6 linked regions of the Cricetulus griseus genome follow. The protein of the gene in region 3 purifies or fractionates together with the protein of the main gene of each other region. This does not show direct contact. Links are inferred from orthologs where the notes say so. Each region holds a gene or a part of one and is shown on either strand. Other genes may lie near its edges. The genes, in order: Mknk1, Eif3j, Eif4g1, Eif4b, Eif3i and Eif3a.

Region 1 (2,740 bases), on a different chromosome or scaffold from region 3:
ATCAACAAGGCCCTGACTTCAGTTTCCAGCACTTAAAACAGAAAAGAGAGAGAAATATAATTCCATAGTGTACAAACATCAGAGATAACACTGGGTGATACCATCATGTGCGCTTGTCAGCAACTGAAATGCCCTGCAGTCTGTGACTGTGCTAGATCCATAGTCTTTACAAACAAATTTAAGTTTTCCAGCCCCCATTTTAGAGATGGAAAAGGCAAGAATCAGTGGGCTCAAATTAACTTGTGCTGGGACCCATAGCAGCTCTGGATAAATTTCTACCAAGCTCTGCCCACAGAGCTGGAGCTAAGCTGAACAGAAACCCCCTTAGGGACCCAACCTTGTGCAAACCCATGTTCAGCATCCATGGGGCTCTGGACCACTGCAGCTCTTAGGAGAAACTACCCAGAATAGTCTCCCTTTGTCCACCCCAGGCTGCCTCCACACAGCTGGCTTCCCACTTGACTAAAGCTGTTGCAGATGCCTCCAAGTGCCAAACCCTGGGTCCCTCTTAGATGATTATTCAACAGACCCAAAGTGTCTGGCAGATGCTTGCCCTGGACTGGGTTCTAGAAGCACAGAGATAAATAGCTCAGGCCCTGTACTAGAGCCCCTCCCCGCAGGAAAACAGAGACAAGTGCAGCCTCTTGGCGTGGGAAGAGCCTGGAGGTGGGTGCTCTGAGAAGAGGCCATTTGCCCTGACTGTCCAGCCCATGAGGCTCAAAGGCCTTTCTTATCTTAGTCAAGCAAGGTTCCAAACCCAGGCAAAGCCACTTTGGAGAGAGCAGCTGACCCAGGAAAATATGCTGGATTGTAGGACCTAGCTGTGAGTGGGTGCATCTGCCAGCCTGCCTGCTTGATCTCAATCCTGCTGCCCTCTTCTCCATGCCTTTCCTGGTCCCTACAGAAACAGCAGCACCATGGACCTGACACTCTTCGCAGCCGAGGCAATTGCCCTTAACCGCCAGCTGTCTCAGCATGAGGAGAACGAACTGGCTGAGGAACCTGAGGCCCTTGCTGAGGGCCTCTGCTCCATGAAGCTGTCCCCTCCTTCCAAATCTCGCCTGGCACGAAGGCGAGCCCTGGCCCAGGCTGGACGAAGCAGGGATGCAAACCCATGTTCAACATCCATGGGGCTCTGAACCACTGCAGGCACATCTTGTAGGCCAGTCCGGGCGATGCCCCCTGGAAACCTGTGAGGTCAAAGAATGAAGCAAGCAGAGGGACCTACCTGCCCTGCAGCTCCAGGCGGGCCTTTTCCATCCACAAAGGCTCCATGGGTTCCCACCCATCCCCCATTTCCCTTGGGTCCTTAGAGGAAAAAGCTTTTTCCAAAGGGGTTGTCTTTGAAAAGGAAAGCAATCACTTGTCACTTTGCATAATCGCCTGCAGCATGAACATCTCTTTGCTGGGCTCCAAGTGCTCGCTGTGTGCAGATCCCGGATCCAGCTGGCGGTGGGGGCTGCTGGGGCCGCAGCCTTCAGGGAGCAGCTTCCCGGAGCTGACAGAGGCTGCTGACACACATGCCTCTTCTCTCCCTGCACTGTCACCTTCTGGCAATTCTTCCACCTTCCTCTGTCCTACAGACGTCCTCGCTGACTGTCCTCTCCCTGGCTGAGCAAAGCCATCCCCTCAATTCAGGAAGGGCAGGAAGCCAGATCAGTCTTCCAGTCTGTAGCACAGAGAAGCACATAATCTTTCTTTGCCGTGACCGAAATGTATTCCTCATTTATCATCCTCTTCCATGTTTGGGATTGCTGATAGACTCAGTATTATTTCTTTTTTAAAATATTTTTTAACCATGTCTTCCAGCAAGCATAGAACTTCAAACTCCCACTGCAAGTCCATGGACTTCCCCAAGCAGGGTTTCCATGTGCTTGGGTTTTAATCCCCTCTTCTCCACAGTCCCAACTGATTTTAAGCTGTTACTATGACATACACTTTAGAGATGGTGTCTTCGTCTGCTGCTGCCTTCTCCCAGGTCTTTTATGGAAACAGGCACAAACCCAGGGCAGTTAGACTGCTGTGCCTGACATGAACCTAGGTCACAGGCGGCCCTGCTGCCTTGCTCTGAGGGATGCAGTGCCCTCAGCTCCAGACATGGTGGTGTAGCCATTGTCATATATACTGTGGAGTCGCATAAAGAAAACAGATTTGCATATGTGACACACACATTATTCAACCACAATCACCAAAATTCTCTCTTAAATTGCGTTTGTTTTAATAAATAATTTAAAATTCCATCTGACAGCCTTGGTGGTCCTTTCTTCAATGGCAAACTTGAAGAGGAGGCAGGCCTCCAGGATGGGGCCTGAGCCTAGTCAGATTATGGGAAGGACTCCCAAGTATAATAGCACATTTGATCCACAAGGTGAGATGGAGAGCTTTGCTTCTCTGTTTGTAGATGAGGAAATGAAATTCATCCAACACCACTTCTACAATAAATGATTCTGCTTTTTAACAGTTGTATGTCGAGAAGAGGTTGCAATTAGGTCAGTAGTCATCACACAAGCAGACTTGAGAAGGAGCTATGATAGATGACCCTGTACCCATCCACAAAAGACCATATTTCTCTGTCTAAAGCATTACTATGCTTTTATTGAGGACCTGCTGTATGCCCAAGACTGAACTTGTCCTACCAGAGCTGATGACAACGAGAAATGGTGCCTCCCACCCACAGCCAGACTAGAGACCAAGGAGGTGCAAAGAAGGAATCTGGATGGGCTCAGGGTTCAGGTCATGG
Region 2 (2,778 bases), on a different chromosome or scaffold from region 3:
AAGTAGCCATCCCCAAATATTCAAACTGGAGATATTTGCTAAAAAAGGAAATCCCAAGTCTGTATTATAGCATTAAAGCTATAGAAAAACAAAACAAACAGTAACAACAAAAAAAGTTTCCCAAGTATGTTAAGAATATAGTCTTAACAAAGGGGGCAGAAATCAGCATCACTTACATGAAATACAGACATCTCGAACTAAGGCTTCCAAAAAACTGGCATAATATAGTGATTTTTCATATTGCGTAATTTTATCTTTTAGTAATTTTCCAAATTCTGTGAAGTCATCTCTTGAAGATGGGTTCATAGCATCTATTCCATAACCTGTATTATTAACACCTGCAGGAGAAAAGAGCTGAAGCATTAGAAGACAATCATTTTCATCAATAGGGGCTAGAATGGCTCTCTGGGTAAGAAGAGCTTTACCCATGTAAAGATGATTACACAACAAAACTGTCTTCTGACTTCAACACAACCCTCTCTGTAACAAAAACCTTAAAGTTCATTAACCAAGTTGCTATCAAAATCAGTTTTATTCTAAAGCAGGACTTTAAACAAACTGTCATATTGTGTGTGCACATGCCACCATGACCTGCATGTGTAAATCAGAGGATAAACTTTCACTCCTTCCATCAATATGTGCCCTGGGGTATCAAACTCAGGTTATCAGGCTTAATACCCACTGAGCCACCATTCCATCGCTAGGAAACTTTACAAACTACTGAGCTTTTTAACAAGAAAAGAAAAAAATCTATCTTGAATTTTACTAGCCTCCAATTCAGCATTTTCGCCTATTTTAATTTTAGGCAAAAACATTTAAAAAAAACCCTTCGGAGTACACTGCAGCTGGAGCAGATATCCCCACCACTGTCTGATCAGTACTGTCAAGCACTACTATTAAAAAGCACCTGGCGGCCTGGCGTTGATGGCGCATGCCTGTGATCCCAGCACTGGGGAGGCAGAGGCAGGTGGATCTCTATGAGTTCCAGGACAGCCAGAGCTGTTACACAGAGAAACCCTATCTTGAAAAGACAAAACAAAACACATGAAGTTGAGTAGTTATGAACATTCATACTCCCAGCTTGGGAGGATGGAGAATTCAAGGCCAGCCTGGCAAAAACCCATCTCAAAAAAGAAACAAAACAACCAACAACCAAATTAATAAAACTATATATGGGCTGGGAATGTAGCTCAGGTAGTGTTTGCCTAACATGTATGAAGACCTGAGTTCAATCCCCTGCACTAGAAACTAAAAATCTTTACTTTTATCATGGATTTGTTTTGTGATTTGATTCCTGTTTCAATTGAACAGGTTTCCTTTGTTAAAAATAAAGTGTTAGAAAACACCTTTAATCCCAGCATTCAGAAGTAGATGCAAGCTTCTCTGTGAGTTCTAAGCCAACCTGGCCTACAGAGTGAGTTCCAGACCAGCCAGAGCTACACAGAGACCCTGTCTCAAAAACAAAAGCCATACTAAAAAAGGACCCACAGAATTTACTAGCTGTCCAAAAAAGGATGCTCTCAAAAGATCTGTCCAAGAAAAACAAAAGAGATAGAGTGGGAGAAGGCTCAGTAGGTAAAGATATTTGTCACCAAGCGTGACCACCTATATTCAATCCCCTGAACTCCCATGGCAGGAGAGAAGCAACTCCACAAGTTGTCCTCTGGCTTCCAAGGCATCCTTGGGCAAAGATGGGTAAGGATAACAAAAAAGATGGATACAATAAAAATAACCAGCTAACCCCAAAAATTAAACAGAAGTAACCATGTGTTAAAAAAAACGTGGTGGCGCACGCCTTTAATCCCAGCACTCGGGAGGCAGAGGCAGGTGGATCTCTGTGAGTTCGAGGCCAGCCTGGTCTCCAGAGCGAGTGCCAGTATAGGCTCCAAAGCTACACGGAGAAACCCTGTCTCGAAGAAGAAAAAAAAAAAAAAAAAAAAAAAAAACACCGAGAGAAAATAAATCTAGCCTAAAAGAATTCTAGGCGAAAAGTATGATTATGTATATACCTTTTTCAAGGTCAATAAATGACCTAGCAAAACTACAGATTCAGCATTGTAAGTGCAAGAAACAGTAAATTCCTACTAACCAAACAATGACTGTGTTATTTCATTTTTCACTTCTTAATTTGTAACTGGTATCCCATGAGATTTTCTATTCTGAACACACATGGGCTGCCATGAATAGAGGAACACCCACATTCACAGCTGAAATTGCTAGAGACCCACTGAAGAGTATGGTCAGACTTTCCTAAAGGGGAACAAGCAAGTCTCTTGTGTTCTAGAGAAGGCCTTGGGTGAATTTTTTCACAGGGTAATGACAAATTTGACAAATGAAGTATTCTGGATTTCTCTACTATGTCTTTTAACTCTTCCTTAGGTAGCTGGCTAGTTTTTAAATCAACACGACACAAACTAAAGTCCTTTGTTTAGTGGAAACCTCAACCAAGAAAAGAAAATGACCCCACCAGATTGGCCTATGGCCCATTTTCTTGATTTCTGATTTATGTGGGACAGCCCAGCTAGATGTGGGCAGTGCCACTCCTGAGCAGGTGATCCTGGGAACTGTAAGAAAGCAGACTTACTGAGAGCAGGCCAGTAAGCAGCAATCCTCCATGGCTTTTGCTTTACTTCCTGCCCTGACTTCCTAAGCTGTTAAGATAACTGATGGCCCTGAAAGATGGTGTACTATAAAGGCCAAGAAAAAGAAACAACTCCGAACACAAGGCAAAGCCAAAACTGAATATTCTACATGGACTAACATGTTCTGCCCAAGTCC
Region 3 (3,500 bases):
TCCTTCACTTGTTGTTTTTCCTCCTCCTAGCCAAGGTTATTTCCAATTTAACAGTCTCACACCACATCCCAATCTTTTCCAACTAAGGCTGTTTGTTTTCCCTTCTCTTCCAAAACAGTCTACCTGCAAACCCACCACATGAAACCCAAGTTATTCTTCTCTGATCCTCAGCTCATACCACTCCACCTCCAAGTTAAATACTCATACTTCACTTCCCCATAAAAGCTGTGCCACTGCCTTCCTTACCTGGCCGGATAATGACAGCAACCTGAGGCGACTCCCCATTAGGCTGAGGCTCCAGACCGCCTCCCGTCTGCAGGACACAAAGCAGCGTTATAAGTTTGCACTCAAGAGTTCCACACCCTTCTTTACTAGAGTCATTTCTACTTTAGCTCTGCCTAGAAATCCAGGAAAGCTGGGAAATAAAACCCTTAGGTGAAGGAAAAGATCAAGTGACTTGGGAATCCAGGACAGAATAGCTGTCCAGGCCAAGGTATCACTCCAAGAGTTGACAGTACCTGGGGAGGAGTGGGTGTGGAGGCAGTGCGGGCCCCAGACATGATCTCTTCTGTGATATCCTTCCCTCCTTGGTTTGGGTCTCGGATTCGGATCTGGGGAAAAAAAGCTACAGGATGAGTGGGAAGCAGAAGGAGCCCACCTCTCCACCCTGTCCCACTCCTAAGACTCTGGGCCAACCTCCCACCCCTACTGGGAAGCAGGTGGGTGGGTGCCAGAAACCCCATGAGTTCTACTGTCAACCCATCCGGCTGCTCTTGTAGTCGCTGCCCTAGCCCCCACCCCTAAGACTCTTGACCTCACAGAGCAGCCCTGTACATCACAATGCCCCTCCCTCCCTCCCCTCTACCCACCAGCAATCCCTAAGTCAATGGCTGCACACCCTGGGGCTCAAGACCCCCATCTAGCATCCAGCTAGCTAACTTGTGGCTGGTCGGCCTGATCTCTAGGGGTAGGGCCCAGATGCAGTGGGTGGAGCCAGGGTGACTCAGCGGCTTCCCCAGCCCTGGCACCCTATTCTGGGCACCATGCCCAGGGCTTGAGGACTGAGCAGAGGCGTAGGCCTCCACAGCTTCCAGGACTAGGGGGTGAGGAGCACAAAACAAACCATTTCCAAAGCTAACCACCAGCAACCCTAAACTGATCACAGGTCTTACGATCCTACTAGAGCCCTAGTCTCTTGGGAATTTCCCTGCTGCTCACTTTAGTCATCCTATGAGTTCCTTGTACACTGCAATCACCTTACAAGGAACCTTTGTACTCCACAGACTTGCTCTCTGCTTAAACTCAGGTAAAGGTGTATGACATTCTGCACCCACAGGCACAACATCCTAGCGATACCAGACCATGAGTTTCCCTCCCAGGTTATTCCAGATCCCCTTGCTGCTACTCACAGTTTTCCGCTCCCTCTTAGGAGCAATCTGGGGTGGCTGGTTCATCAGAACTGGGGCAGGAGCCACACTAGCAGGAAACTGCTGCACACCTTGTGCTGGATAATAGGCACCAGCTTGAGGGAAGGAAGACAGAAAGGAAGATTGGTGACAGCATCAGGACCCAAACATATACTAACATCTGCTTGAACACCTCCCACTGCAGAACCTCTCATCACACATAGCCGGCCCCCTGCCCTGCCCTACCCGCCTCCCTAGGGAATTAGGTGTCTGTCAAAGTAGGGGAACCAGTTTGAATTGCATTTACAAGAATTCCTCTCATAGACACACACACCTTGTAGGCAGGAACTCCTTCCTCTCTCTGCTACAAGGTACCTGGTTTTACCCCACCCCGGCAACACACATGTATACTCTCAACTTGAGACACAATCAGCTCTTTGGCAGGAAATGGAAAGGTTTTTCCAAACCATTCCACTCAACCTGACTCCAACTACCAATTCAGCCCTTTGCAAGGAGTAATGTAACAAAAAGTAACATTAGGCCCAAGAAAAATAAGAATTCCCTAAAGCATTGTTTCCAAAGTAGGGTGCCCTTATAACTCATCCCTAATCCCCACTTGTCCCTTTGTAAAGTACCAATGGTGATTATCTGTTTAAATCACATGTACACATATAGAAAACTATAAATGTATTAGATGAACATACTTAACATCTTCCCAATAGGAAGTTTTAGATCCTGCTGTAAGCTAGCATGGTGGCACACAATTGTAATTCCAGCAATCAGAGGCAGGGGGAAATCACTGCAAGTTTGGGGCTAGCCTGGTTTATAGAGCAAGTTCCAGGCCAAGCCAGAACTACATAATTAAGACCCTGTCTCAAAAACAAAACCAACTGCCATATAGATCAGAATAATTCTTTTTGTTTCATTTTTTTTCAAGACAGGGTTTCTCCAGAATAATTCTTTTATTGAACATAAATGAAAGATAGCTATGAAAACCACTCAAATCCATGTTATTGTCTCCCAACAATGAAAAGATACAATACAGAAAAAGTCCACTAACTTGGCTTTAAAATTGGAGCCTGTATTTCTTTCAGTTTATTCTTAACTATGTGCCTGTGTGGGGTATGTACATGCCTATAGGTACCCAGAGAGGCCAGAGACGTTGGCTCCTCCAGGCATTCAAAGTTTTAGACAGTTGTCAGGTGACTGACATGGGTCTTGTACAGAACTTGGGCCCCCTGCAAGAACCTCTAAGCCACTGAGCTCTGTATCTCCAGCTCTTTCTTTTTTAAAATGATTAGTTTATTCATCCATTTAGCATATGCATGCCTGAGTGCCATGGCTTATGAGTGGAGGTGAGAGGACAACTTAGAGGAGTCAGTTCTCTCCTTCAACCCACCCATGTCCCAGTGACCAAGCTCAGTGATCAAATGTCACCAGGCTGGGGGCAAATGCCTTTAACCACAGAGCAATCTTGAAGGCCCTGGTCCTGGTTTTATTTTCAAGACCGGGACTTAATACATAGCTGTGGCTGTCCTGGAACTCACTATGTAAAGCAGGCTGGCTTCAAACTTACAGAGGTCTGCCTGCCTCTGCCTCCCGAGTACTGGCTGGGATAAAAGGCGTATGCCACCACTCCTAACTTGATCCTATGTTTCTTGAAATGGAAAAAGATTCCAACTCTCTTGGCAAAAGATCAAAGCTTCCCTTACCAATAGGAGTTAAATAGTAGGCGCTTTTTTCTTTGTTTTGTTTTTCAAGACAGGGTTTCCCTTTGGCTTTGGAGACTGTCCAGGAACTAGCTCTTGTAGACCAAGCTGGTCTCGAACTCACAGAGATCGGCCTGCCTCCCGAGTGCTGGGATTAAAGATTTGTGCCACCAACGCCCAGCTGTAGGCACAAATTCTTATCATCTATTAATCCTATTATTTTAAAAACCAAAAGCATGCCCAGGAAGGTCTTAGAAAGCAGACCACTTAAGTGTTCCGTAGGACGCACTCTCACCCCTGCTTACCGTAGGTCCCAAACTCGGTAGGGCTTGCACCCGGATAGAAGCCTGGGGCTCCTGGCTGCACAGGGTACTGCTGTGTTGGG
Region 4 (4,190 bases), on a different chromosome or scaffold from region 3:
ACATGGAAACTGGTATTGCCTCAAATGTTTGGTCTTACCTATTAGTGATTAAGTTATATCTGGCATTTTCACAGAGAACCCAAAACCCATTTCCAACTCTGGGTATGTATAATGGTCACTCAAAGTCAGTGTAATTGGAGAAAGAAGTGTGGTCAATTCCAAACTCTTCAAAGGCCAAGTAATAGGTAAACATGTGCTGTGGTAACACACTAAGCTACATTTCCCGAGTTAAGTTTAAAAAGGGGGGGGGGGGAGAGGGTCTTCCTGGGAGTGTAACACAGATAGGTGAGAAAAGGGGGAAGAGACATTACTAGGCAAACCTTTTAAATTGTGAATTGCACACCAGAGTAAAACCAAAGATTCGGCTTACTCTTAACTATTGTTTGATAGGACACAGGTAAGAGGATAACTTGGAGGAGTCTGCTCTGGCCTCCACCATGTGGATTCTGGGATCTAAACTTGACAGCCTTGGTATATCGGAGCCACGTCCTCAGTTAAGCTATGGTGTTGTCCACCACTAAGAATTTCGAAGGGGAAACACATCTAGACTTTTCACTCAGTTAAGACACTCAACTGACAAGGTAGTACACCTATGCCATTGAGTATTTTCCACCATTTAAAACAGTTTCTTAAGTTTTAGATGATGGTTTTCAACAGCAACTCCAACTTAGCGTGGCACTTTAGTATTTCCCATCTTAATGAGATCAAGAGCCTGGAGTCCCCCAAGATTTTGACCCTGCCCTGCTACATGCAAGCAATTTTTCTTCAGCTGGGAGAAATCACCAGTTCTTTACATTATCTCACAGGTTTCTTCAGTTAAGTGCTACAGTAACAAAAGCTGTTGGTATATCCTTGGTTCAGGGTTGGGAATTTATAGTTTACCCAGAGTGCTTGCCTAAACATGTGCTGGTCCATGCCTTTAATCCCAGCACTTGAGGATCTAAGTTCAAGGCCAGCTTGGTCTAAGTGAGCTTCCAATCCCCCAAAAACACAATCTTAAAAACAAAACAAAAAAAGGCTGTGTGTGTGCATGGTGCCTACTGTATCCAAAAGTTCTGCGTTTAAGGTTCAACAATGCAAGAGGGGGAAATAAAGTCTTATGCACAAATGCCATCTAAATTCAGCGAACATTTCCCAAAGACAATCATAGCCCTAGGTCCCTTGTAAGAACAGAAACGATGGATTTCTGATAAATTAAATGTTGCTGGGTGTGGTGTCTTAACACTTTAATCCCAGCACTTGAGAGGCAGAGGCAGGCTGGTCTCTGAAGAGTTTCCAGGACAGCCAAGGCTACAAAGAGAAACCTCAGACCTGAAGGGGGTGGGGAGACTGAATGTTGCCTTTAATCCTAGAACCTGGGAGGCAGTGGATCTCTGTGAGTTCCAGGCCAACCTGGTCTACCAAGCTCCAGGACAGTCAAAGCTATAGAGACCCTATCTCAAAATTGTTTGGAGGCAACAATCCAAAAAGTATTTTTTTTTTACAGACTAGAGGGTCATGTTAGAGAAAATAAAGCGTATTTCCTAAACTAAAGCTAGGTGTTTAAAAGGGCATTTTTACAAGTCCATTTAAAATGTAAAACAAAAACAAAGAAAAAGCAGCTCCCCCCCCCAAACCCACTTGCAATGAAGTGACACACACACCCCATTTTTAAAAAAGAAAACCACAGAACCTCTAGCTATTATTTTAATAGCACCTTCTGGGAAGTTTCCCAATTATCCAGGGAAACGACCAAAGCAAGCTGAATCCTGACAACTGAAAACTACCAAAAAGTCAAGCAAAATGGAAGCTGTGTAAGGCAACGACCTGCTCTTGTTCCCCACCCCTGCCTGGCATATAGTACAAACTGTTGAATGAAGAGTTGGGAAGAAAATCCACATAGGAGATAGGTGTCCATCCCTACAGCTCCGCCCTAACACGTGGGCGCACACTAGGCTCCCTACCCCCAACCATCGCAGCACCAACCTCCAAACCCAATGTGCGTTCCCTTGGAGGACAGAGGCCGGGTCACACTCCACAACCCCAAACCTACCAAAGCATAAAGTACAAGGTCACCAAGGAGCCAAACCCGGGCCCATCGGAGCTTGCCATCTGGACTCGAGCGCACGCTTCCGAGGCGAACCCTCTTCACCTCGCCTCTCGCCGCGCACGCGCACCGCCGCTTCCCCCCGCCCCTCCACGGACTCGCGCTCGCGTTCTAACCGCCCCCCCACCCCTGCCCCCACGAGGGTCCGCAACGGCCTCGCGCCTTGGAGACCGGGTCTCATGCGCTCCAGTCCGCGCGCCAACCGCCTCCGTCCTTCCTCCGCGCCTGGGCGCGGGCGCAGCGCCTCACGCCTAGGAGAAGGGCCTCGCGCGGGACTCCCGCACACCTTTCTGCGCTACCTCCTCCGACCGGAGCCGAAGCCCACCATTACTGCCTACTCCAACCGCGCGCAAGGGGGTAAAAAGGGAGTGAGGGGGAGGGGAGAGGCCTTCCCCTCCCCCTAAACATTCCGAGGCACCAGCCCGCAGCGGCTATGCCGCCAGCCTGCCGCAGCTCCCAGGTCCGAAGGGAGCCGGTGCCACCTGCCCCCCAACTCCAGCAAGGAGCGGATCAAGCCCGGAGGCTATTTCGGAGCCCGGTCCTTGGCCACGCTCGGCCGCTCACTCACCTGAGGCCGCCATGTTGGGAGAGGGAGAGAGAACGCAAAGGACCCGGATGAGGCAATCACGTGATTATAGCGGGCGCGACGGGCTTGGAGACGCGAAACCAGGAGGGGGCGGGGAACGGAGGACGGAGGCAGGAGGAGGCGGGGCGCTGCCGTGCTAGGTTCGTAAAGCAGCGCGACGAGGTGGCGCGGCGTCCGACCGGAAGACCTGCGCGACATGTGGCCGAAGGGGTGGAGTCTGAGCTGTCGCGAAACCCTACGCTTTACGTTGGGCCCGGCGCGGCGGTCAGGTCGGCTGTGCGCCCTGGGCGGGGTCTCCTGACGCACAGACTTCTGGGAGGTGGGTCGGCGCGAAGGGCGGGGCCGCACTTTCTGATTCCATGGAACCGAGCTGGCTTGGAATCTAGAATGGATGTGCCACAATTGTTTTTTTTTTGTTGTTGTTTTTTGTTTTTTTTTGTTTTTTACAAAGAGAAGATTCGGAGTTTGTTTTAAGTCGCTTTTTGTAAAGGCAAAGCAAATCTGATGTTCTGTATTATGGTTTCAATTAAGCGTGCTTTTTAGCGTGCTTAGAAGGAAAAAGAAAGTAACATTTGAACATGCTAAGGCCGTGAACTTTAGCCTCATTTAAGCCTCCAATTTACTGACAAGGTCCAGCGCCGAGTGCTAGCCACATTTCTTCCAGCCAATGCTCCATTTTTATTATATTTCACTAAGTAAAACTTTGAGCACCAACCATGTGTCAGGCACTGTTTAACAGAGGTTTGTGGATATAACAGAACAAAACTACCTTGAATAAAATATTACAAACGATAAACACAACAGGTAAGTAAGAATATTCCAAATGATAAACACTACAGGTGAGTAAGATAATAGAGTAAAAGGTGGTTGAGTGCAACTCTAGATGTTCTGCTTAGGGAAGGTCTCTGAGGAAGTGACATTTAGAATGAGCATGGTGGTGCATGCCTCTTGAGGCTAAGGCAGGAGGGTTGTTGAGAGCTGCAGGCCTTTCTGGACTACATAACGGGTTCCAGTCCAGTTTGGTATACGGAGTGAATCCTTCCATGTATTAACAAATGGGCTGGGGAGCTGGCTTAGTAAGAGGGCTTGCTGATAATGCATAAATAGGGGCCTCAGTCCTGGAACCTTGTATCCACATATTTTTTTGGTCCATGGCTACAGGAGGGTTAGTCTATAACCCTAGCATCGTGGAAGGCAGAGACAATACATTTGTGGGGCTTTCTGGCCAGCTGCTTAACACCAGGTCCAGTTCTCACTGGATTGTTTTAAGGATATGAGACAGGATACTTGGCAAGAGTCCCCTAGACTGCAGGGGTGAGCATCACCCACACCTGTGTGGACACCTACATAGATGGGGACACACACAGGTAAGCCTCCCACAAAACAGGAACAAAAAAGCTGTAGGCCCCGGGGAATGTCTTCATAATACCTTTAGAAAACCGGATACAAAGGATTGAAGATAAGGCTTATTGGTAGAAGAATGCCTAAAATGCAAGAAGCTCTGGGTTCAGTCTCTAG
Region 5 (3,091 bases), on a different chromosome or scaffold from region 3:
ATTAAACTGAGGTTACTGGTAGTTCTGAGTTGCCCAACGTGGGTGCTAGAACTGAGAGCCACCTTCAGTTCAACTACTCTTCAACTCCTTAGCCACATTGCTTTCTGTGGAGCCCCAGAGCCTGAGCCTATGGTGAGGTAAGCCCTAAGCATTCCCCTGGAGAATTCTCTCCCTGCTGGGCTTCCTTACCTTTCTGTTTCCTCAGCCCCTTTTCTGTGCTGGTCCAGTTGGCCCCGCTCACCCGAGCCATCAAATCCACAGAAAAGGAAGAGGGAAGGTTCTCAGACTATAGCATGCATCAGCCTGAGCCCTTTCTTAGGCAGCGGCTTCTTGACCGTGGTGGATGAAAAGTGCCAGCTACACAGGCTAGCCCAGAGCAATGCAGAGTCTGGGTGCAGAGAGAAAGCCTGCAGAACAAAGTATTCCTATTACTTTCAGCCAGCAGAGGGTCAGTGAAGCAGGAGAACCTGACAAGCTGTGCAAAATGGCTGACCAGAAACTATTTTTACCAAACTAATTTATTTCTAAAGAGTCTAAAACCCTCTTGAGCAGCCTCCCCGGTGGATGGAGATCCAGCTTCAGGCCTCAAACTCAAACTCAAAGTACTGCGGGTCGAAGTAATGGATGCGGACGTAACCATCTTCACCACCGCTGCTGTAGCTGTTAAGAGATGGGCAGTGATGATCAGATGCTGCTGAGAAGGGAAGTCTGGGCAGCCAGACAGAGCAAACAGGCAGAGACCCCCGGCCGCTGAGATCACTCCCTTCAATGGGGCCATACCTCTTGCCATCAGGATGAAAGGCAACACTGTTGATAGGTCCAAAGTGGCCCTTGACTCTTCCAAACTCCTCTTCAAAAGCCAGATGGAAGAACCTGGAAGAGAGGGTGGGTAGGAGAGCAGTTATTTAGTCTCCATCTCCTCAAACACACTTGAGGCAGCACTCTGAAAAAATGAAGACTGTTGAGGACAGTATTCTACGTAACAAAATTAATAAAGTAGAGAAATTAGGAGATGGAAAGAAATAATGAAGTTATAGGAAGACTGCCCAATTGTCTGCTTCAATATACAACAAACACCAGGCATGTACTGGGCAGTGCTCTAAAGTTTACTAAATATTAATCATTTACTTAATCTGCACACATTTCTGAGGAGAGTACACTATCTCTGGCCATTAAACAGTTGGAAATCACAGGCACAGAGAAAAAGACAGGCTCATCTAGGCCCTGAGTTCATGATCTCTGCTGTTGTTTAGAGATAGGGTCCTGTGTAGCCAAGTGAGCTAGGAGTTGGCTGAGGCCAAGGATGACTTTGAAACTCACGCTCTTCCATCTCTGGAGTGACTGGAACTGTGTTAGAGGCTTGGGGCCACGGCCCAATGGTAGTGCTAGGGACGCACCTGGTTTGCCAGCAGGGCACTTTAGCCAGACAGATGCCCAGCTGTCCTCATTTCCTGTATTAGACATCTGTCACAATCCTTATGTGGTTTCAATATGGAAGAGCTTGCTTCCCCTTTACCTGGCTTCAAACTTGCCAATCCTGGTGGAAGTTGTGGTCACATCCATGGCTTCCTGGCCACCTCCTAGCACCACCTAAAGAAAAGAAAGTTCAGAAAGATGGTGACGGCATATGCCTTTAATCCCAGCACTTGGGAGGCAGAGGCAGGAGGATCTCTGTGAGTTTGAGGCCAGCTACACAGGTTCCGAGAAAACCTGTCTTGAAAAACCAAAAAAGAAAAAAAAAGGGGGGGGGCAGAGAAGAAAAGGAAAGGAAAGGAAAGGAAAGTTCAGGTACAACCAGGACTTATTTACAGGTTTCTGTCCTTGGCTGAGGTCTCCCACCCACAGCAGGAGTATCCTCAAGAAAGGGATGAGTAGTCATGTCAGGTTTCCCCAGCTCACTTCCCTAAGCCCAATCAATCAGCACTGTAACAATCCTAGGTGCCCCTTCTCTGACACTATTCCCCAACAATTACAGCCCTAGCATTGGTCATATACTCAGACTCCAGAAGCAGGAAGCATGAGTGGGGTCTTCTTACATGGTCATAGTTGGGAGAGAGGGCAGCCGAGTTGACGGGACGTTCTGTTCGGAAAGTCTTCTGATGTTCAAGACTCGTGGAGTCAAAGAGCTGGAGAGAAGGGAGGAGGAGAATCTGGGTTGGGCAACTTTTTGGGCAGGTCAGACTGGTTGAATGTGCAGCAGAGGGGCAAACAAAGCTCCACCAGACCCATACCCAGGCTGACCTTAGCTGTGTTGTCCTTGGACGCGGTGACAAACATGGTCATGTCTCTAGATAGCTGGATGTCATTGATCTGCCGGGAGTGTTCCTTAACGCTCACCAACACCTCCCCAGACTGGAGGAGGAAGAAGAGACTTGCTGGAGTCCCAAGCCACTATTCCCCTAGAAACTTCAGACAAGCTAGACTTTTCATTTTATACCTTTCTTACCTCAATCTAACCCCATGCCAGCTTTATTTTTGGGATTGATCGACCCCAAATACCCCAAGTACTCAAACACTGAACAGTGTTGATGCATGACTTTAACCTCAGTATTCAGGAGGCAGGGGGATCTCTGTGAGTTCAAGGCCAGTTTGGTCTATACAGCAAGGTGCAGGACACTCAAGGCTACACAGAGAAACCCTGTCTCAAAAAAACAAAAAAATATGTGTATGGATATGTGTCCAAGGACATGTGTCAGTGTCCACAGGCCAGGCAACACTGAATCCCCCTAGAACTGGAGTCCCAGGCAACTGTGAACTGCCCGATGTAGTGCTAGGAACAGAACTCAGGTCCTTGGCAAAAGGAGCAAACATTCTTAACCACTGTGGCATCTCTCTCCACTAAACTTCTAAGGTTGGCCCTAAACTCACTCTGTAGCATAGGCACACCTGGAAATTTTTTTTTTTTTTTTTTTTTTTTGAGACAACATTTCACCTTTACCCGGCTGGCCTGGAACTGGCTACATAGACCTCAAACTCAGATCCACCTGCCATTGGCCCCCAAGTAATGGGATTAAAGGTGTGTCTCACCTCAGCTCCCCTCAAGTCTGGAATTTTTTTTTTTTTTTTTTTTGGTTTTTTGAGACAGGGTTTC
Region 6 (3,500 bases), on a different chromosome or scaffold from region 3:
TGGAAAGGTGTGTCAGTGATTAACAACAGCACATACTGTTCTTGTAGTTCAATGCCCTTTTACCATGTCAGGTGGCTCTAACTGCCTTCACTATCTCCAGGAGATTTGATGCCTATGGCCTCCAAGGACACCTGCATTCATTCACATGTACACACACACACATACCCACACACAGGTATGCACATACATGTCATTTTAAAATAATGAATCAAACAAACAAACAAAAAAAAGAGCTAAACTAAATGACAGACTTACCACAGGCTAAAACAGAAAGCAGAGAACTCATAAATTAAGATATTTAAGATGGTGGTCACAGAGCAGGTATTTATTTGGAGAGGAGGAAACAGTAAGTTTAAGTGTCAAGTGAAGCACTCTCAGAGTAGAGTTGACTAGAAGAACAAAATTGAGATCCTCAATAGGATCCCATTGGTGGACCGTTGTTTTAACAAATATTTAATATTTTTCATTTAAAAGTCACTGCATAGGCACTCAAGGAAAAAAACTACCTACATAAAAAAATAAAGAATACAGTACAACTGTCATGTAGCCATACAATTTCATTTTTTACACAAAAAACAGGATTCTGCAGGGCGTTGGTGGTGCAGGCCTTTAATCCCAGCACTCGGGAGGCAGAAGCAGGTAGATCTCTGAGTCTGAGTGCCAGGATAGGCTCCAAAGCTACACAAAGAAACCCTGTATGGGGTGGGGCAGGGGGAGGGGGGGAGAGGGCAGGATTCCATAAAGCATCTAATTTTCTAAATATTAAATCTTACCTGGCTTGACGAATGGTCTCCAAGGGCCAGGTCTTGCATCATCACCTCGCCTGGGAATCCTATCATCATCCATATTTCTCCAAGGCCCCCGGTCATCATCTGCACCTCGCCTGGGAATTCTATCATCATCGGCATTCCTCCAAGGTCCTCGGTCATCATCCAACCCTCGCCTGGGGCCCCGGTCATCATCCATGCCCCTCCTGGGACCCCGGTCATCATCAGCATTACGCCAGGATGACCGTTCATCATCAGCACCTCCTCTTCTCGGCCCCCGCTCCTCATCCATCCCACGTCTAGGTCCTCTGTCCTCATCTGCTGTGCGCCAGCTTCCTCTGTCATCATCCAGTCCCCGTCTCAGTGGTCTGTCATCATCCAGTCCCCGTCTCAGTGGTCTGTCATCATCCAGTCCCCGTCTGGGTGGTCTGTCATCATCTGTGTGACGCCAGCTTCCCCTATCATCATCACCAATTCGCCTGGGAGGCCTGTCGTCATCTGCATTACGCCAGGATGGACGGTCATCATCTGTTCCTCTACGAGAAAATCTATCTTCATCGGGACCACGCCTAGGCCCTCTGTCATCATCCAGGCCACGCCTGGGGATTCGATCATCATCTGGTCTAAGAGAAGATTCTCTCTCTTCATCATCCCCCAAGCGTCTCAGGCGGTCTTCATCTCTCCTGTGAGGTCTCTCATCATCCCGAGTCTCTCCTCGTCTCCACTCCCTAAAGAGCAACAAGTTACAAGCTTTACAAGCTAATTTTTCACCAGGTGGTGGTGGCACATGCCTTTAACCCCAGCACTCGGGAGGCAGAGGGGGCGGATCTCTGGGAGTTTGAGACCAGCCTCATCTACAAGAGCTAGTTCCAGGACAGTCTTGAAAACCACAGAGAAACCCTGTCTCGAAAAAGCAAAAAAAAAAAAAAAAAAAAAAAAAAACAAAAGCAAATTTTTCAGAAACCATATGGATCCTTGATTTCACTCATTCTTACAAATCATTAAGTCTAAATTCATTCAGTGTCATCCTTTAAAAATGTTTTCCAAGCCGGGAGTTGGTGGTGCATGCCTTTAATCCCAGCACTCGGGAGGCAGAGGCAGGTGGATCTCTGTGAGTTCGAGGTCTGGTCTCCAGAGCGAGTGCCAGGATAGACTCCAAAGCTACACAAAGAAACCCTGTCTCTAAAAAACCAAAAAAAATCTTTTCCAAATAAAAATTATACAAAATCTAGTACCTTAAATATACTAACATTAGACAACAGCCTACAATTACCTATTGCTTCCCAAGAGGACTTGCAAAGTTCTTTACGTTTTACAATGAGCTTTTCTCTAAACAATTTCTACATAAAAACACACTTCCTACCACTAGTAATAACCATAAAAAACAGCTTAAAAACTGAGCATGTAGCTATATTACAACTTCTAGGAGAAGTTGTACAACAAGGTTCTATCTCTAATACTACTAAAAAAGTTTTTTAAAATAATGTTCAGTCGAGCATTGGTGGCTCATGCCTTTAATCCCAGCACTGGGGTGGCAGAGGCAGGCAGATCTTTGAGAGTTCAAGGCCAGCCTTGTCTACAAAGCAAGTTCCAGGACAACCTCCAAAGCAATACAGAGAAAGGCTGTCATGAGTGAATGAATGTTCTGCCATTAGAAAAATGACATGGACAGGTATTTTTGTTTGTTTGTTTGTTTGTTTTTGGGGGGTGTCTCTGTGTAGCCCTAGCATCCTAGAACTAACTCGCCTGCCTGTCTCATGAGTGCTGAGATAAAGTGTGTCCCACCACAACATAGCATATTTCATTCTTACTCTTTAAACTCAATGTTGTTGGAATCTGATGGATGTATTTCTCGGATTTGTATGGGTCAGTCATCAGAGCGATGTTGAAGGGGAGAAGGGGAGAACCTACAAAGTCTGATTAACAGTAAAACCAGATATGGTGGCACAAGCTTTTATATATAACAATAGGGAGGTCAAGATAATATTGGGAGTTCAAGGTCATCTTAAACCTACACAGGACCCTGACCTTTGCTCAAATAACAGGTGGATCTGCATACCCTCCTATAATTAAAATCTGATTTTAAAATCAGGATACCAAGACCCAAGACTGTTCCCATGAATCCACTTACTTCTCTGGCGGGCCTCTCCTCCACTCAGAGTCAGCTTCTGGCCCTTTCCTCCATGTACCTTCTGAATCTCTGTCTCCCCACCGAGAGTCCTGCACCCACAAAGCAAAGAGGCATCATTGTAATAAAAGTTATCTATCACTCAAGCATTCCATTCTTTCATTAGACCCCAAGATCCTAAAATAAAAGTCTCTGGTTGAGGGAGGCTACGCAACCTTTTCACTGTGAAGCCAGTCTTGGCTGTCTAAGACCTGTCCTTCCACAAAAATAAAAAAACCAGGCACTGGAAGAGCTCAGTGGTTAAGTACATGTACCGCTCTTCCTGAGGATTAGAGTTGAGTTCCCAGCAAGAGATGCCTCACAAGTTTATCTGTAACTCCAGGTCCAGTGAATCCAACAAGTTGGTGAGCACCTGCACTCATGTGCACACACCCACATGCACATGATTAAAAATACATTTAAAAAAATGGAAAAATATAATCAGCAACCAGGCAGTGTTTAAGGGGCAAAGCAGTCGCTCAGAGTGGCTAAAACACAAGCTGACAGCTGAAACTGGTGAAAAGGCCTCACCAAGTATGTTTGCCTTTGGCTCTTAGTAATGAGTA

Evidence for each region.
Region 1: the proteins of Eif4g1 (region 3) and Mknk1 purify together in Homo sapiens (affinity purification with western blotting; 3 studies listed by BioGRID and IntAct, with this or other methods). This does not show direct contact. The link is inferred for Cricetulus griseus from reciprocal best matches to the Homo sapiens genes EIF4G1 and MKNK1.
Region 2: the proteins of Eif4g1 (region 3) and Eif3j purify together in Homo sapiens (affinity purification with western blotting; 3 studies listed by BioGRID and IntAct, with this or other methods). This does not show direct contact. The link is inferred for Cricetulus griseus from reciprocal best matches to the Homo sapiens genes EIF4G1 and EIF3J.
Region 4: the proteins of Eif4g1 (region 3) and Eif4b fractionate together in Homo sapiens (co-fractionation; 4 studies listed by BioGRID, with this or other methods). This does not show direct contact. The link is inferred for Cricetulus griseus from reciprocal best matches to the Homo sapiens genes EIF4G1 and EIF4B.
Region 5: the proteins of Eif4g1 (region 3) and Eif3i purify together in Homo sapiens (affinity purification with mass spectrometry; 5 studies listed by BioGRID and IntAct, counting the BioPlex papers as one, with this or other methods). This does not show direct contact. The link is inferred for Cricetulus griseus from reciprocal best matches to the Homo sapiens genes EIF4G1 and EIF3I.
Region 6: the proteins of Eif4g1 (region 3) and Eif3a purify together in Homo sapiens (affinity purification with western blotting; 4 studies listed by BioGRID, with this or other methods). This does not show direct contact. The link is inferred for Cricetulus griseus from reciprocal best matches to the Homo sapiens genes EIF4G1 and EIF3A.

What each region holds. Positions count from the first base shown.
Region 1 is NC_048595.1:36,459,606-36,462,345, reverse strand, and holds the end of Mknk1 (MAP kinase-interacting serine/threonine-protein kinase 1), read left to right. Parts: intron 1-904; coding exon 905-1,139; 3' UTR 1,140-2,240; downstream 2,241-2,740. UniProt on the Homo sapiens protein: May play a role in the response to environmental stress and cytokines. Appears to regulate translation by phosphorylating EIF4E, thus increasing the affinity of this protein for the 7-methylguanosine-containing mRNA cap.
Region 2 is NC_048599.1:56,393,410-56,396,187, forward strand, and holds part of Eif3j (eukaryotic translation initiation factor 3 subunit J), read right to left. Parts: intron 339-2,778; coding exon 177-338; intron 1-176. UniProt on the Homo sapiens protein: Component of the eukaryotic translation initiation factor 3 (eIF-3) complex, which is required for several steps in the initiation of protein synthesis.
Region 3 is NC_048597.1:67,973,473-67,976,972, forward strand, and holds part of Eif4g1 (eukaryotic translation initiation factor 4 gamma 1), read right to left. Parts: coding exon 3,421-3,500; intron 1,523-3,420; coding exon 1,410-1,522; intron 612-1,409; coding exon 519-611; intron 314-518; coding exon 247-313; intron 1-246.
Region 4 is NC_048595.1:398,468,281-398,472,470, reverse strand, and holds the start of Eif4b (eukaryotic translation initiation factor 4B), read right to left. Parts: upstream 2,801-4,190; 5' UTR 2,668-2,800; coding exon 2,655-2,667; intron 1-2,654. UniProt on the Homo sapiens protein: Required for the binding of mRNA to ribosomes. Functions in close association with EIF4-F and EIF4-A. Binds near the 5'-terminal cap of mRNA in presence of EIF-4F and ATP.
Region 5 is NC_048595.1:23,441,453-23,444,543, reverse strand, and holds the end of Eif3i (eukaryotic translation initiation factor 3 subunit I), read right to left. Parts: intron 2,353-3,091; coding exon 2,242-2,352; intron 2,127-2,241; coding exon 2,037-2,126; intron 1,591-2,036; coding exon 1,517-1,590; intron 874-1,516; coding exon 781-873; intron 661-780; coding exon 579-660; 3' UTR 501-578; downstream 1-500. UniProt on the Homo sapiens protein: Component of the eukaryotic translation initiation factor 3 (eIF-3) complex, which is required for several steps in the initiation of protein synthesis.
Region 6 is NC_048596.1:552,983-556,482, reverse strand, and holds part of Eif3a (eukaryotic translation initiation factor 3 subunit A), read right to left. Parts: intron 2,988-3,500; coding exon 2,899-2,987; intron 1,496-2,898; coding exon 774-1,495; intron 1-773. UniProt on the Homo sapiens protein: RNA-binding component of the eukaryotic translation initiation factor 3 (eIF-3) complex, which is required for several steps in the initiation of protein synthesis.